3 linked regions of the Canis lupus familiaris genome follow. The protein of the gene in region 3 interacts with the protein of the main gene of each other region in a biochemical or structural test. Links are inferred from orthologs where the notes say so. Each region holds a gene or a part of one and is shown on either strand. Other genes may lie near its edges. The genes, in order: RAB1A, USO1 and GOLGA2.

What was found.
Region 1: the proteins of GOLGA2 (region 3) and RAB1A form a complex in vitro, tested with the Homo sapiens proteins (2 studies listed by BioGRID). The link is inferred for Canis lupus familiaris from reciprocal best matches to the Homo sapiens genes GOLGA2 and RAB1A.
Region 2: the proteins of GOLGA2 (region 3) and USO1 form a complex in vitro, tested with the Homo sapiens proteins (2 studies listed by BioGRID). The link is inferred for Canis lupus familiaris from reciprocal best matches to the Homo sapiens genes GOLGA2 and USO1.

The regions. Positions count from the first base shown.
Region 1 is NC_049231.1:65,878,023-65,882,128, reverse strand, and holds the start of RAB1A (ras-related protein Rab-1A), read left to right. Parts: upstream 1-1,272; 5' UTR 1,273-1,421; coding exon 1,422-1,444; intron 1,445-4,106. UniProt on the Homo sapiens protein: The small GTPases Rab are key regulators of intracellular membrane trafficking, from the formation of transport vesicles to their fusion with membranes.
Region 2 is NC_049253.1:39,884,685-39,888,887, reverse strand, and holds the start of USO1 (general vesicular transport factor p115), read left to right. Parts: upstream 1-1,393; 5' UTR 1,394-1,575; coding exon 1,576-1,641; intron 1,642-4,203. UniProt on the Homo sapiens protein: General vesicular transport factor required for intercisternal transport in the Golgi stack; it is required for transcytotic fusion and/or subsequent binding of the vesicles to the target membrane.
Region 3 is NC_049230.1:55,332,844-55,336,399, forward strand, and holds part of GOLGA2 (golgin subfamily A member 2), read left to right. Parts: intron 1-41; coding exon 42-100; intron 101-362; exon of another isoform or gene 363-383; coding exon 384-525; exon of another isoform or gene 526-1,663; coding exon 1,664-1,753; exon of another isoform or gene 1,754-1,859; coding exon 1,860-1,967; exon of another isoform or gene 1,968-2,152; coding exon 2,153-2,240; exon of another isoform or gene 2,241-2,603; intron 2,604-2,620; coding exon 2,621-2,961; intron 2,962-3,231; coding exon 3,232-3,345; intron 3,346-3,556. UniProt on the Homo sapiens protein: Peripheral membrane component of the cis-Golgi stack that acts as a membrane skeleton that maintains the structure of the Golgi apparatus, and as a vesicle thether that facilitates vesicle fusion to the Golgi membrane.

The sequences.
Region 1 (4,106 bases), on a different chromosome or scaffold from region 3:
ACACTATGCCCTCTGCAGTTAGACAACCCAAGATAATGTGTTAAAGTTTACTGGAGGTTTAAATTCCTGAGCTGATTAAAAGAAGAGTTACGACTATCAATCGGGTCTCAGAAATGTTGTGAATGCCGTTCCCGGAGTCTCTAGGCACCGTGCAGCGATGCGTTAGTTGCACCTTCCCCTCGCTTATCATTCTTCAGTCTTGCAGAGCAGCTCCGCCTTGAGTAGCTAAAATTACAGTTCGGCTTGAAGCCTGGGACCAGGGCGGGAAGACCCTGAATTTCGGGCCGACTCTGGGCTGCACCGCGGCCACGGAGAGGCGCGGCCCCCGCAAAACGGTGGTGGGCTCGGGATGCAGCGCGGTTTCGGGGAGATAATCCGGCTGCGTCGGCCAGCGGCGGGGGCAGAGAGGAGGCCGAGGCTCCCGTCGTCGCCGGGCCGGGTGGTCGGAGCCGGGCTGCACGGGGAGCCGGGGGGCAATGCGACCAAGGAGACGGCACCGTGTGCGGCCAGCGCGGGACCGTGGCCCTGCACGGGGACCTGACCCAGCGGGGCCGGCCGGCTGGGGAACACCACCGAGCTCCGCGCTCTCCGGACCCCCGAGGTTCCCAGTAGGGGCCCCTCAATTCCTCCTCCGTCCTGGGACCAGCTGGGAGCTCGAGCTCTCAGCAAAGCACTGGCCAGGCGCGACCTGCAGCCCGCATTTCCCCCGCGGCCCCGCCCTCCAGCGCCCCGCGGTCGCCGCTGCACCCCCCCCCCCCCCCCGCAGCGCCCGCAGCCCCCGCCCCCGCCCCATCCTCTGTCCGCGGCCGGCGCCGCCCTCCGTCCCTCCCCTCCCCCTCCCCCCTTGGGGCGCCGACGCGCCCTGCTGCCACGTCTCACTGATGACATCACCGGGGCCGCTCGGGCTTAGCCAATCCGCTAGGGGGAGTCCGAGCGAAGTCCTAAGCCAGCGAGTCAGCGGGGCGGGGAGCAGGGAGGGGCAAGACGGGGGGGGGCGGTGAGCGAGTGGGGCATGGGGCGGGCGACAAGCGCTCGAGTGCGCCTGCGCCGGAGGCGCGGGGCTTGGCGGGAAGCTGAGTCGCGGCGGCCGCGCCGCCCCGTAGGCCTTCGGCGCCCGCCGCCGCGTTGGAACTCTCTTTCCCGGCGTGCCGCGCGGTGCGGCCGCCCTCCGGGCCGTGTAAAGACCCCTCGGTCTAAGGCTTTCCTATTTCCTGGTTCGCCGGCGGCCATTTTGGGTGGAAGCGATCGCTGAGTGGCGGCGGCTGCTGATTGTGTTCTAAGGGGACGGAGCAGGGGAAGACGTTTGCTCTCCCGGAACAGCCCGTTCTCGTTCCCGTCCCTCGATTACCCGTGGCGTCGAGAGTCGGGGCGGCGGCTGCGGCAGCAAGGGCGGCGGTGGCGGCGGCGGCGGCTGCAGTGACATGTCCAGCATGAATCCCGAATAGTGAGTGCAGGAGAGCACCGGTCGGCTGGGGCCGTGGGGCAGCCCGGAAAAGCCTAAGGGGGGGAGGCGAGGAGGGCTGAGGCAGAGGCGGGGGCCTCGGCCAGGGCGGGCGGACGGTGGTAGGGCCGGAGATGCCGGGAGCCGGGGCCCATTGTCTGACGGAAGAGGGATCGGCCCGGGGGGGGGGGGCGTCAGGGGGGCCGGGGGGGCCGACGGGGGGGCGCCCGGGCAGGTTGGAGGCCTTGAATGCCGGGCCAGGGCGGAGGAACAGTCTTCGGAGGGGGGGGTGGGGCGGTGGGAAGGGGTAGCTTCACGCCCAGGCAGTGACTTTGGAAGGAAGACTTGTTTTTAGGGTGGGAGGGCTGCCCTAGAGGGCCCTGTCGGGGCCGGCGCCCGCGCCCGCCGAGCTGTCAGAACCGTCGCGGTGGGAAGCCAGCCCCACTTGCAAATCTTGAGCTCGTTGGCTCCGTCCTTTCACCCCTCCCCGGCCAGGTTGCAGGTAACACGGATGCTTTTCAGGACTGCGTGGGATGGAGCGGGGAAATGAGTAGAAGGGGAGAACAGATTTTAAATTTTTAGTGGAGGGGGGGTTTAGGTTATTTCCTGGAGTTTTTTTTGTTTTTGTTTTTTTTCCGAGAAGTCACGACGGGGCCCATTGCCTCCCTAAAAACCTAAGCATTTGTGAGATTTCCTTTTTTTCTTTTTTTTAGAGGGCACTGAAGTCATTTGGTCTTGTGTAAGGTCGAGGAAAAGAATAAAGAGAACTAAGACGTAGGAACGTTTTTTTCTTTTCTTTTTTCTGATACTATCAGATTAAAGGAAGACTGCTGTCAAATTGAAAGAGAGAACGAAGGGGCTCTCTATGTAATCCGTAGGTTTTGGATTACCTGCTTGAATACTCGAAGATAGGGAGTGAGGTTCCATGACGTGTCATGAAAAGTTAATGCATTTCTTTTTCTTGCTCACTCAAGAAGTCCCCGCAGCATATGTGACACACCTGGCACCTTTCCTGGGAACTGGTGTTCACCTTCCTTGGGAAGACTTCGTTGGGTTCTCCTTCATGGCCCTTTAAATTCCTCCTTGGGTTTACCTATATAAATTAACGAATAATTGGCAGACATTTAATTGGTATTCCCCTTCAGCGTCAGAAGGCTTGGGGGGGGGGGGAGGAATTTTTTTTTTTTAAAGGAAAAAATTGGTATTTTAAAAGCTGTGAATGTATTTGCAGCTTTGGTCATTTACTGCTAAACATTTCCCCTAAAGGTCCACCCATCAGTTTAGCTGACTGTCATGTGTGTGTCACATGGCTCTTGCAAAATGCATTCTGACTTCCAAGTTTTGTAATAACAGTGGTTTGAAGCAGAAATGTCCCCTTTTGCACTAAACAGAAGCCGTGGTATTTCACTAAAATTTTATGTTCTTGCAGAAGTTGAGGCTGGTGTTCTCATGGTGCCACATTTGGCCACGGCGGCAGTTTTTAGTTTCTTTATCAAGGGCTCCGAGGACAAAGTGGGTTTTGCATAGTTAGGGAGAATGGAACTTGAGGTACCTAATCTGGTGGTTTTCCTGGCAACAATAAAGTACATGGATCTACCACTTTACGGAGACTTGTAAACCTCCTCTGTTCAGGGAGTTTCTTATATTTGCTAAGTATGTCAAGTAGCATAAGTAGATCTTTACGATTAGTTGGACAGAGCCATGACACATTAGCCTCTGAATTTGTTTCCCCTTTTGTAAAATAGGATAATAGGAGTCATTATTCGTATCAGGGTAGTTGTGAGATTTAAGTGCATGTAAAAGAAAACATAAGAGGACTCTAGGTGGTGTTATGTCATTACCATGTACGGCATCGTAATAGTGCTGGGATTTAGGAATACAATCCTTACCCTCAAGGAGTTTATAATGGAGTATAGAAAACCGTTATATATGTCAAATACCAGTAGATCTAGTTTGTTCCAAATTTACAGGATGGATAGGAGCAACAAGATTTCAAAGGAGGGTGAAGGATTGTGGTTGGCTAGTTGGTTTCAGGAAAATTTTATAGAAAAGAGAATCCTAAGAGAATTATTAACAGATTTAGAGAAGCACTAGGGAGTGAGGAGGATTTTTCAAGGGGGAAGAAGGAAGAATGGTTAATAAATGGCAGTGATAGTAATTCTTCAGTAAATACCGTGCCAAACATCCATTAAATTAATGACGTTAACAGAATCAAACCCAGAAATTATACTTTTTTGCCACCGAGTATATGCCAGTATCAGGTCTACTGTATTTGTATTCTAGACTAGTAACATAGGAGTTTGGAAAAACCTTTGGAAGAGCACTAGTGAGAGGAGGTGATGGGTATTTTATTAGAGGAGGTCACAAGGGCAACCAGCAGGCAGATTTTTAATAATGTGACTTCAGCAGGTTTTTTTTTTTTTTTTGTCTTTAATGAAGTTTGTTACCATCAAAAAGTAATTAGTGGAAAATAGAAGAAAGAAGGAAAGAAATTCTTAGTTTAATTACTGAATACAAGTCCATTTACTTTTAATACCTTGTTCTAAACTTTAAAACCTTGTATTTTTTCTTAAATTAAAACTTTTAGTGGGTGAGTGCCTTTCATAATTCCATGATGTTGTCTTAATACCTAGCATTTATAGCTACATATATGTTAGGCATATTA
Region 2 (4,203 bases), on a different chromosome or scaffold from region 3:
ACCAAGCTACAGAGACTAGATTTTATTATGGAGCAGATGGACAACCACGGGAAGATTTTAAGAAGAGTACCTACATGGACAGATGTTTTGTCATTGTTAGGCTCATCCAAGGGTGACTGGACTGGAGGCTGGACTGGACAGAAGCCAGGGCTTGAATGCAGACAAACTAGTTAGGAAGCTACTGCTATAATCTTGGTGAAAAATTATGAGAACATAAACTATGTCAAAGGCAGCAAGGATGAAGAGCATAGGACCTGTTTGAGAAATATTCTATAAATAGAAATTAAAGAGCTTGAATACTGGACAGGTGGGTGAGAAATCCAGAACATAAGATTCCCCCCAGTGTCCTCCTTCTAGTTTAGGCAATTATTTGGCTAGTGGTACTGTTGAGACTGGTAAGGCACAAAGAAGCATAGTGATTTCTCTTTTTTATTTCCCCCCTTTAATGTAGGCTGGGGAAGATGATGAGTTCAATTTTAAATGCTGAATTCGGGACCTGTAGGGGATCCAAGTGAAGAGGTGTATGGATCAGTAGGCTAACTCGACCCTGCGCTCAAGACATTTACAAGGCTACTCCAGAAGCAGGTGTAGCCACCTGGGCAATCTCATTTCCAAAGGGGCAGGGCATACCATTTTGGAAAAAAAAAAAAAAGACATTTTTCATGTTTAAAAAAAAAAAACACTGAAAATGCAGGGGTTGAGAAGTAATAACGAAATATTACGTAATTAGCTGCCAAAATGACACTACAGATCAATGCGTTTTCTCTCATAAACTAAGCGCAGGGCTCGATCGGTTTCAACTTCGCACCATTGGAGAACAGCGGAGTACCTGGTGTTCAGATCCAGGAATCCCTTTTGTAACAGGTCTGGAGAGCAAGGACTGGAAAATGCGCCCTCCGGTGGCAACGGAATGAGGGGGCTCTAGCACCCTTTTTTACCGCTAAACAAAGCCCGGTAAAGAAATGCGATTTACGAGGCTCAGAAGGCCCTAAGGCTCGCATCGCGGGACCGCAAGGCCCAACGAGCCCTCCCAGGGCCGGGCCCCTTACCTGTAACGTCGGCCGAAGGACAATTCCGCTGTCGACCCAACAGAGTAGGACCCCAGATTCGACAGCTGGCGGCGAGGCCCCTTCGGCGACAGCCAAGCTCCCCGCAAGCCAGGACCCGCCACCCGGATCCCCCACGGCTGCGGGGCCGCGCTTGGACCGCGTGGGCGGCGGGGCCGGCGGGACCGACCGGCGGGGGGCGGGGCAGGGGGCGTGTCCGCCCAGGGAGGCGGGGCATGCGCAGTGGGCGGGCTTGGATACGCGCTGCGGGCCCCCCGTCGCCTCCGTCCCCCTTTGGCCTGCGCCCGTCGGGCCGCCACGTAATGCCACGTCCCCGCGCACGCGCACTTAGACTGGCGGCGGCGGCTGTTTCCGGGCTTAGGAGGCTGGAGCGGCCCCTGGGTGGGAGGCGTTGGTGGCCGCGCCGGCGAGTGCGGGGAGCGGGCGTAGGGGCCGGGCCCTGCCGAGGGCAGGGAAAGTCGCCGTTTCTTTCCCGGCGGGGCCTGCGGAGCCGGTGGCTGAGCGAAAGATGAATTTCCTCCGCGGTGTAATGGGCGGTCAGAGCGCCGGGCCCCAGCACACAGAGGCCGAGACGGTGAGAGGAGCGCGATGGGCCCGGGACTGGGGAAGGGTTCGGACGACTCGGGGCCCGGGAGGTGACCTCCGTGCCCCACCACGGGCCGGGAGTCCACGCGCCCGCCTCTCCCTTTGCCTCCCTTTCTCTCCTGGGACCCCCGCGCCACTCCTGACGCCCCCAGCACAGCCCCCTGCGCGGCGTTTCGGCCCGGGTGGCCGCGGCCGCGCCCCGAAGCTCTACAGGGTGGGGGTGGGGGTGGGGGGGCCCGCCCGGGAAGGGCTCGACCCTGGGCGCAGGTGGCTCGACCTGTCTCCGCCCCTCGGGGCCGCGCGGGCCTTTGCCCCCTTCCGCCTGTCTCCAGAGGCCGAGAGGAACCTAAGGTCCTACTCCCTCCGTCGCAGCCTGCAGTGGGTCATGGGGGAAGGTGGCAAGAAGGGTTAAAACCCAGCTGTTGACGAAAGCATGTGGCTAAGAATGAAATGATAGTTTGGGGGCACGAAGCCACCTGCTCCCGTCCCTTCAACTGGAGGAAAATCGTTCTGCCAGGTGTCACCAGTTCAGGCCTCGTTTTTCGGGCTCCCCCAGCTATACTCGCTTGGACTTGGAGGTCTGTTTCGCGCTCAAACTGCTTTGGGACTCATCCCTAACTTTCCCTTCTACTCACCCGATTCAGAAGTCTGAACCCTTCCTCGGTAACACGATTTGCAGCGTCACGTTAAAAACCTGTTCGCCACGGAAAACAGTATTTGATAGTTGGTTCAGCGTTTAGGTTTAAGATAAATTTATTTTGAAGTTCGGTTAGTTTCTATTAGAAATGAGTGCATGTGACATTTTAAAAATAAGCTAATTGAGAATGATTTCAGATATACAGGAAAGTGACCAAGCATGACATTTTAAAGGTAAACTTTGGGGAGTAGTCATAGACATAATTGGGATGTCTGTGAACATAGATCCTACGTTCTGTGTTACTGGGATTTTGAAAGATAATAATAGCTTTCATTTGTCAAGCTCTTATCTTGAAGTAGGTACTATGCTGAGTTCTTTATAGTGCACATTCTCCATTAATCTAACCACCCTGCCAGATAGATGGTAGTATCTTCACTTTACAAATGAAGAAATGTGGTTTAGAGAGGTGAAGTGACTTGACCAATGTCACGCTACTAGTAGTAGCAAAGCCAGGATTCAAATATGGTTTCCCTTCTTAGCCTAGGTCTTCTTGCTGATGCTCATATTTTAATACTTACCCGGGAATTTTGGAAAATTACAAGTATCAAAATCAACCTCACAGATCTGAATTAGAACTGTTTACAGCAGAAGTTGAAAGCTGATGAATCTCTCTTCCTTTATTTGAAAATTGGGAGATTTCATGTCCATGTCCACACACACACACACACAGACATACACGACTGATATTTGGCTTCTTTCGTCTGCTTCCACATGGCTACAAGGCACCCGAGCTGCCTTGTTATAAGACTGTTGCTCTCTCCAGATCACCAGAGTCACAGCCCACCTCTTCAGCTTTTGTTCATTTATTTTATTTCTGATATTTTCCGTTTGATGCATCAAGTATAGTATATTAGAGCTCGCTTTGGATTTAGGCTTTAATTTGAATCCTTGTCTTCCACCTCTAATTTGATTGGACCTGGCAAGAGATGGATAATACCCTGTGAGTAAAGTAAGGGAACCACTTGCTTTTATGGGTGTAAATAAGGATTAAGTGAAATAAGAAGTAGAGCCTGGCACTTAGTATGTGCTCAGTAAAGGGTAGTTTTTAATAAAAAAAAAAATGTAATACATGATTTTAGAGGAAGACTATCTTTTTCTTTTTTTTTTTTTTAATAGTTGGCCTTGTCACAACGACTTCTGTAGAAAAGATGGTATATAATTGAATATAGGATTTTAAAGCTGGAAGGTCCTTTGCAGATCATCCAGGTTGAACCCCCCCCCCACCTCGTTTTACGTTAGGAAACTAAGGCACAAAGCACTGAAGCGACTTGCACAGTATTACAGAGCTGAGACTAGAATACTGATCTTGCCATAGTGAGTGAAACAACATAAATTTTACATTGTGATTTCTCTTTTTTCTTAAGATTTTATTTTTAGGGCAGCCCCCGTGGCTCAGCGGTTTAGTGCCCCTTCAGCCCAGGGCCTGATCCTGGGGACCTGGGATCGAGTCCCACGTCTGGCTCCCTGCATGGAGCCTGCTTCTCCCTCTGCCTGTGTCTCTCTGCCTCTCTCTGTGTGTGTCTGACATGAATAAATAAAAATAAAATCTTTTATTTTATTTATTTTATTTTATTATTTATTTATTTATTTATTTGAGACACAGAGAGAGGCCGGGACCCGGGATCTCACCCTGAGCTGAAGGCAGAGGCTTAACTGCTGAGCCACCCAGGCATCCCTACATTGTGATTTCAAAATGAAGCTTGATTATCACTCGTGTATGTTGTTTGTGTAAAGTGAAAGGAAAGTGAGGATCCTTGTTCTTACTTTGAGGAGTATACTCAAAATTGGAAAAGTAATTTGTCTTATGAAGAGAATTAATAGTTTATTCCAAGTTGCAGTATGGATAAAATGTTT
Region 3 (3,556 bases):
CTGCCCAGCCCATGCCTGACCCTGCCTTTCTGTATCTGCAGCACAACAAGGACTTAACCAAAGAGCGAGACACCCTCAAGCTGGAGTTATATAAGAACAAGTAGGACAGCGGGGCTGGCAAGTGGGAGGGCTACAGGGGAAGGGGGGCACCGCATACGGCTTAGAACACGCACAGAGCTGGACTCCAGGCCCAGCTGTGCCGCCAGCACAGGCTGTGGCCTTGGGCCTCGCGGGTCTTCTCTCTGGCCTGCTCGTTGGGCTTCATGTTCCCCGGGGGCCCCTTCCGACCGTTCTGTGGCCCCGTGGCAAGTGTGGTGGGTTGATCACCAGAGTACTCCTTTCTGTTCTGTACTCATACCTACCTTTGCTCTCTCTGGCCATAGCAAAAACAATGAGGACCTGAAGCAGCAGAACTCAGAACTGGAAGAGAAGCTTCAGGTGATGGTGAGAGAGAAGGCAGCCATGCAGCTCGGGATGGAGGAGCTGCAAAAGAAGCTGGAGATGTCGGAGCTCCTGCTGCAGCAGGTGAGGCCGAAGCCCCAGGGAGTCTGGGTCCCATCTGTCTGGGGCCGTGGTCTCCCGGGATTGTGATGGCCAGCCGTTAGCCAGAAGCTGGAATATTTGGGTCCTTGTTCTGGCCCTGCTATAGAATCCTGCTGCAGATGTTGATCAAAATCTACAAATTGGAGCCCTGTGCAGCAATGTGGACTCAGAATCTCAGGGATGGGGCTTTTTAAATTTTTGTTTTTTAAAGCATCTTGGTTGCAAACCATTGTTCTACAGTTGACAGTCACAAGGCTAGCCCATGAGTCCCCATCTGCTTCCTCTTGGAGGTGGGGCCACCAGGTCATCAGGGTACCTGGGCCAAAGAGCTCCCCTCCATCAGTGTTTATTCACACAGCGATAATCTGCCTTCAGGTCACTTCCTTCAGTGGGGTTCTTCCCTCCCAATCAACACAGGAAAAATTTCATCTCTTTCCTGAGACCTTTAGATACTCGGAGGGGGTGTGTTTGTAGATTCCTTGGCCCTCCCTCAGGTTTTCCCAAGCTCCACAGCCCCAGCTGTTTCTCACATGGTCTGTCACCCTCCTGACGGCTTTTTTTCCTGCATGGGACCAATTGGTTAAGGCTCCTCTTCTGGTCAATCCCCCCAGAGTGAAACATGAGTCTCCAAATTTGGTCTGTCCTGGGCAGCAGGTAGGGCTCTCTACCCATCTCCCTCACCATCTCCCCATCCATTCAGCAGGTGTTGACTGAACATGGCCTCCGCCTGTTCCTAGGCTGGGTAGTCTAACAAATAGCCTGGTAGAGAGAGGAAGTGAGGGCTTGAGGTTGCTCTGAAGTTAATGGACACCCGCACTCTGGGACCTGACCACCCCATTTCTGGGACCAGGGCCAGTTTGTAGCCACCCTCACTATAGCCAGTAAAGAACCTGGAAGAGAATACACACCAGGTTGGCAGGACTGGGAGCTAGAGGAGCACTTACAATGAGTATTTAGTTAACAGAAAGCCTGTGGACCCAATACTAACGTAATGTAAAGGTAGAGATCTGTATCAATGCCAAATTGTACGTTATCCCAGCTCAGATCCTTTTGGGGTGGGGTGCATTACTGCAACAGCCTGGGCTCCCCACATCTAACCTTCTCCTTTTCCATTCTCCAGTTTTCTAGTCAATCCAAAAGCCCTGACAGCAGCCAGGAGTTACACCAGGCCCTGGAAGAGCGGACACAGCTGGAGGCCCACGTCGGGGAGGTGAGGCCTTGCAGAGAGCAGGGGGTGTGGAAGGATGGCCCTAGGTGCTTAGAAGCTGGTTAGGCCCAGCAGCAGCCCCTGCTAACATCTGTGCCCCTTTTTGTAGCTGAGAGATTTACTAAAGCAACTGCAGCTGGAGAGAGACCAGTATGCAGAGACTCTGAAGGAGGAGAATGCCATTTGGCAGCAGAAGATGCAGCAGATGTCTGAACAGGTGAGATGTGACCTTCAGCGCCCCCACCTTAGGCTGCTTGATCTTTCTGGACATCAGTAAAAGGGGAATCCTATCACTTGGTATGCAGCCAGAGGTGGCTGTGCAATTTTTATAGGTGGGAATAGAGAGGGCAATGGTCTTACTTCCCCCCACCCATGTACCCATCCCCCCTGTGATTTGGGCAGATGCACAGATTGAGGGAAGAGAAGGAGCACAGCATGAGTCAGGTGCAGGAGTTGGAGGCCAACTTGGCTGAACTGAAGAACCAGATAGGTAAGCTGAGGCAGGAGGATCTGGGAGCAGGATTGGTGCCAGAGGGCTGGTGAGGATGCCTTCAAATGCCCTAAGGATGTGGGTGGATGGAAGGGGACTGTGGCCCAGGGAAAGAGGTCCGTACTAGGAGTTGGCCAGGTTGGGCAGTGTGCCCGCTGGCAACCACTCCGAATTGTCCTGAGCATAAAAATATTAAAAACTCTTTTCAAAAGTGTCTTGAAAGAGTGCATATCCCCTGAGGGTGAGGGATTGTGAGCCAGGAAGCCAAGGTTTGGGGCGAGGAGGCCCAGTTAGGAGCTGTGGATCAAGAAGAGGGCTTTTTTGAAGGCACAGAGGTGAGAGGCCCCTAGCGTGTGTCCCCCTCCCCCTGCTCCCCACAGTGGTGCCCCCAGCCCAGGAGCCCCCAGCCAGGCCCTTGGAGGAGGAGCAGCAGCGGCTGCACGCCGAGACTGAACAACTACAGAAGGAGCTGGAGAGCCTGGCCGAGCAGGTGCAGGCCCAAGTGAAAGACAACGAAGGTTTGAGTCGCCTGAACCGGGAGCAGGAGCAGCGGCTGCTGGAGCTGGAGCGGGCAGCCGAGTGCTGGGGGGAGCAGGCAGAGGAACGCAAGCAGATTCTGGAGAGCATGCAGAGCGATCGCACCACCATCAGCCGTGCGCTCTCCCAGAACCGCGAGCTCAAGGAGCAGCTGGTTGAGCTGCAGAACGGCTTCGTCAAGCTGGTGTGTAGCCCTTCTCCTCCTAGCCAAGTCTTTTGGTGCTGGGCAAGACAGTTAACCCCTCTAGGCCTTTGTCTCCCCACGTGTAAAATGGGGGAAGGGTGTATGCACCCAATGTGAAAATGGTGCCCTTGAAGGCACCCTGTGAGCCGGAGAGCCCTGCTGAGATGAGTGGGGCAGAGGTGGTGAGGACACCTGCCTCCACTCTTCCCTGCACTGTGGGAGGTAGACTCCATGTTCTGGGGTGGCCACTGACTCCTCTTCTCTCTCCAGTCCAACGAGAACATGGAGATTACTACCGCACTGCAGTCGGAGCAGCATGTCAAGAAGGAGCTGGCCAAGAAGCTGGGCCAGCTGCAGGAGAAGCTGGGAGAGCTAAAGGAGATGGTAACTTACCCCCCACACCAGCTGAGGAAGCCTGGAGGACAAACCTACCTGCTCGGAGGGTGGGAGGTTGCCCAGGATGGTGCAGCTCCAGCCTGTGGGGGGACACCTGACTCCAGAGTCCTTCCAATCCTGCCTGTGGTGCAGGCCCCTTGTCACTCCCAGCTGTCTGACTCTACAGAGTGGGTATCCCTGGGCTGAAGGTCCTCGTCCT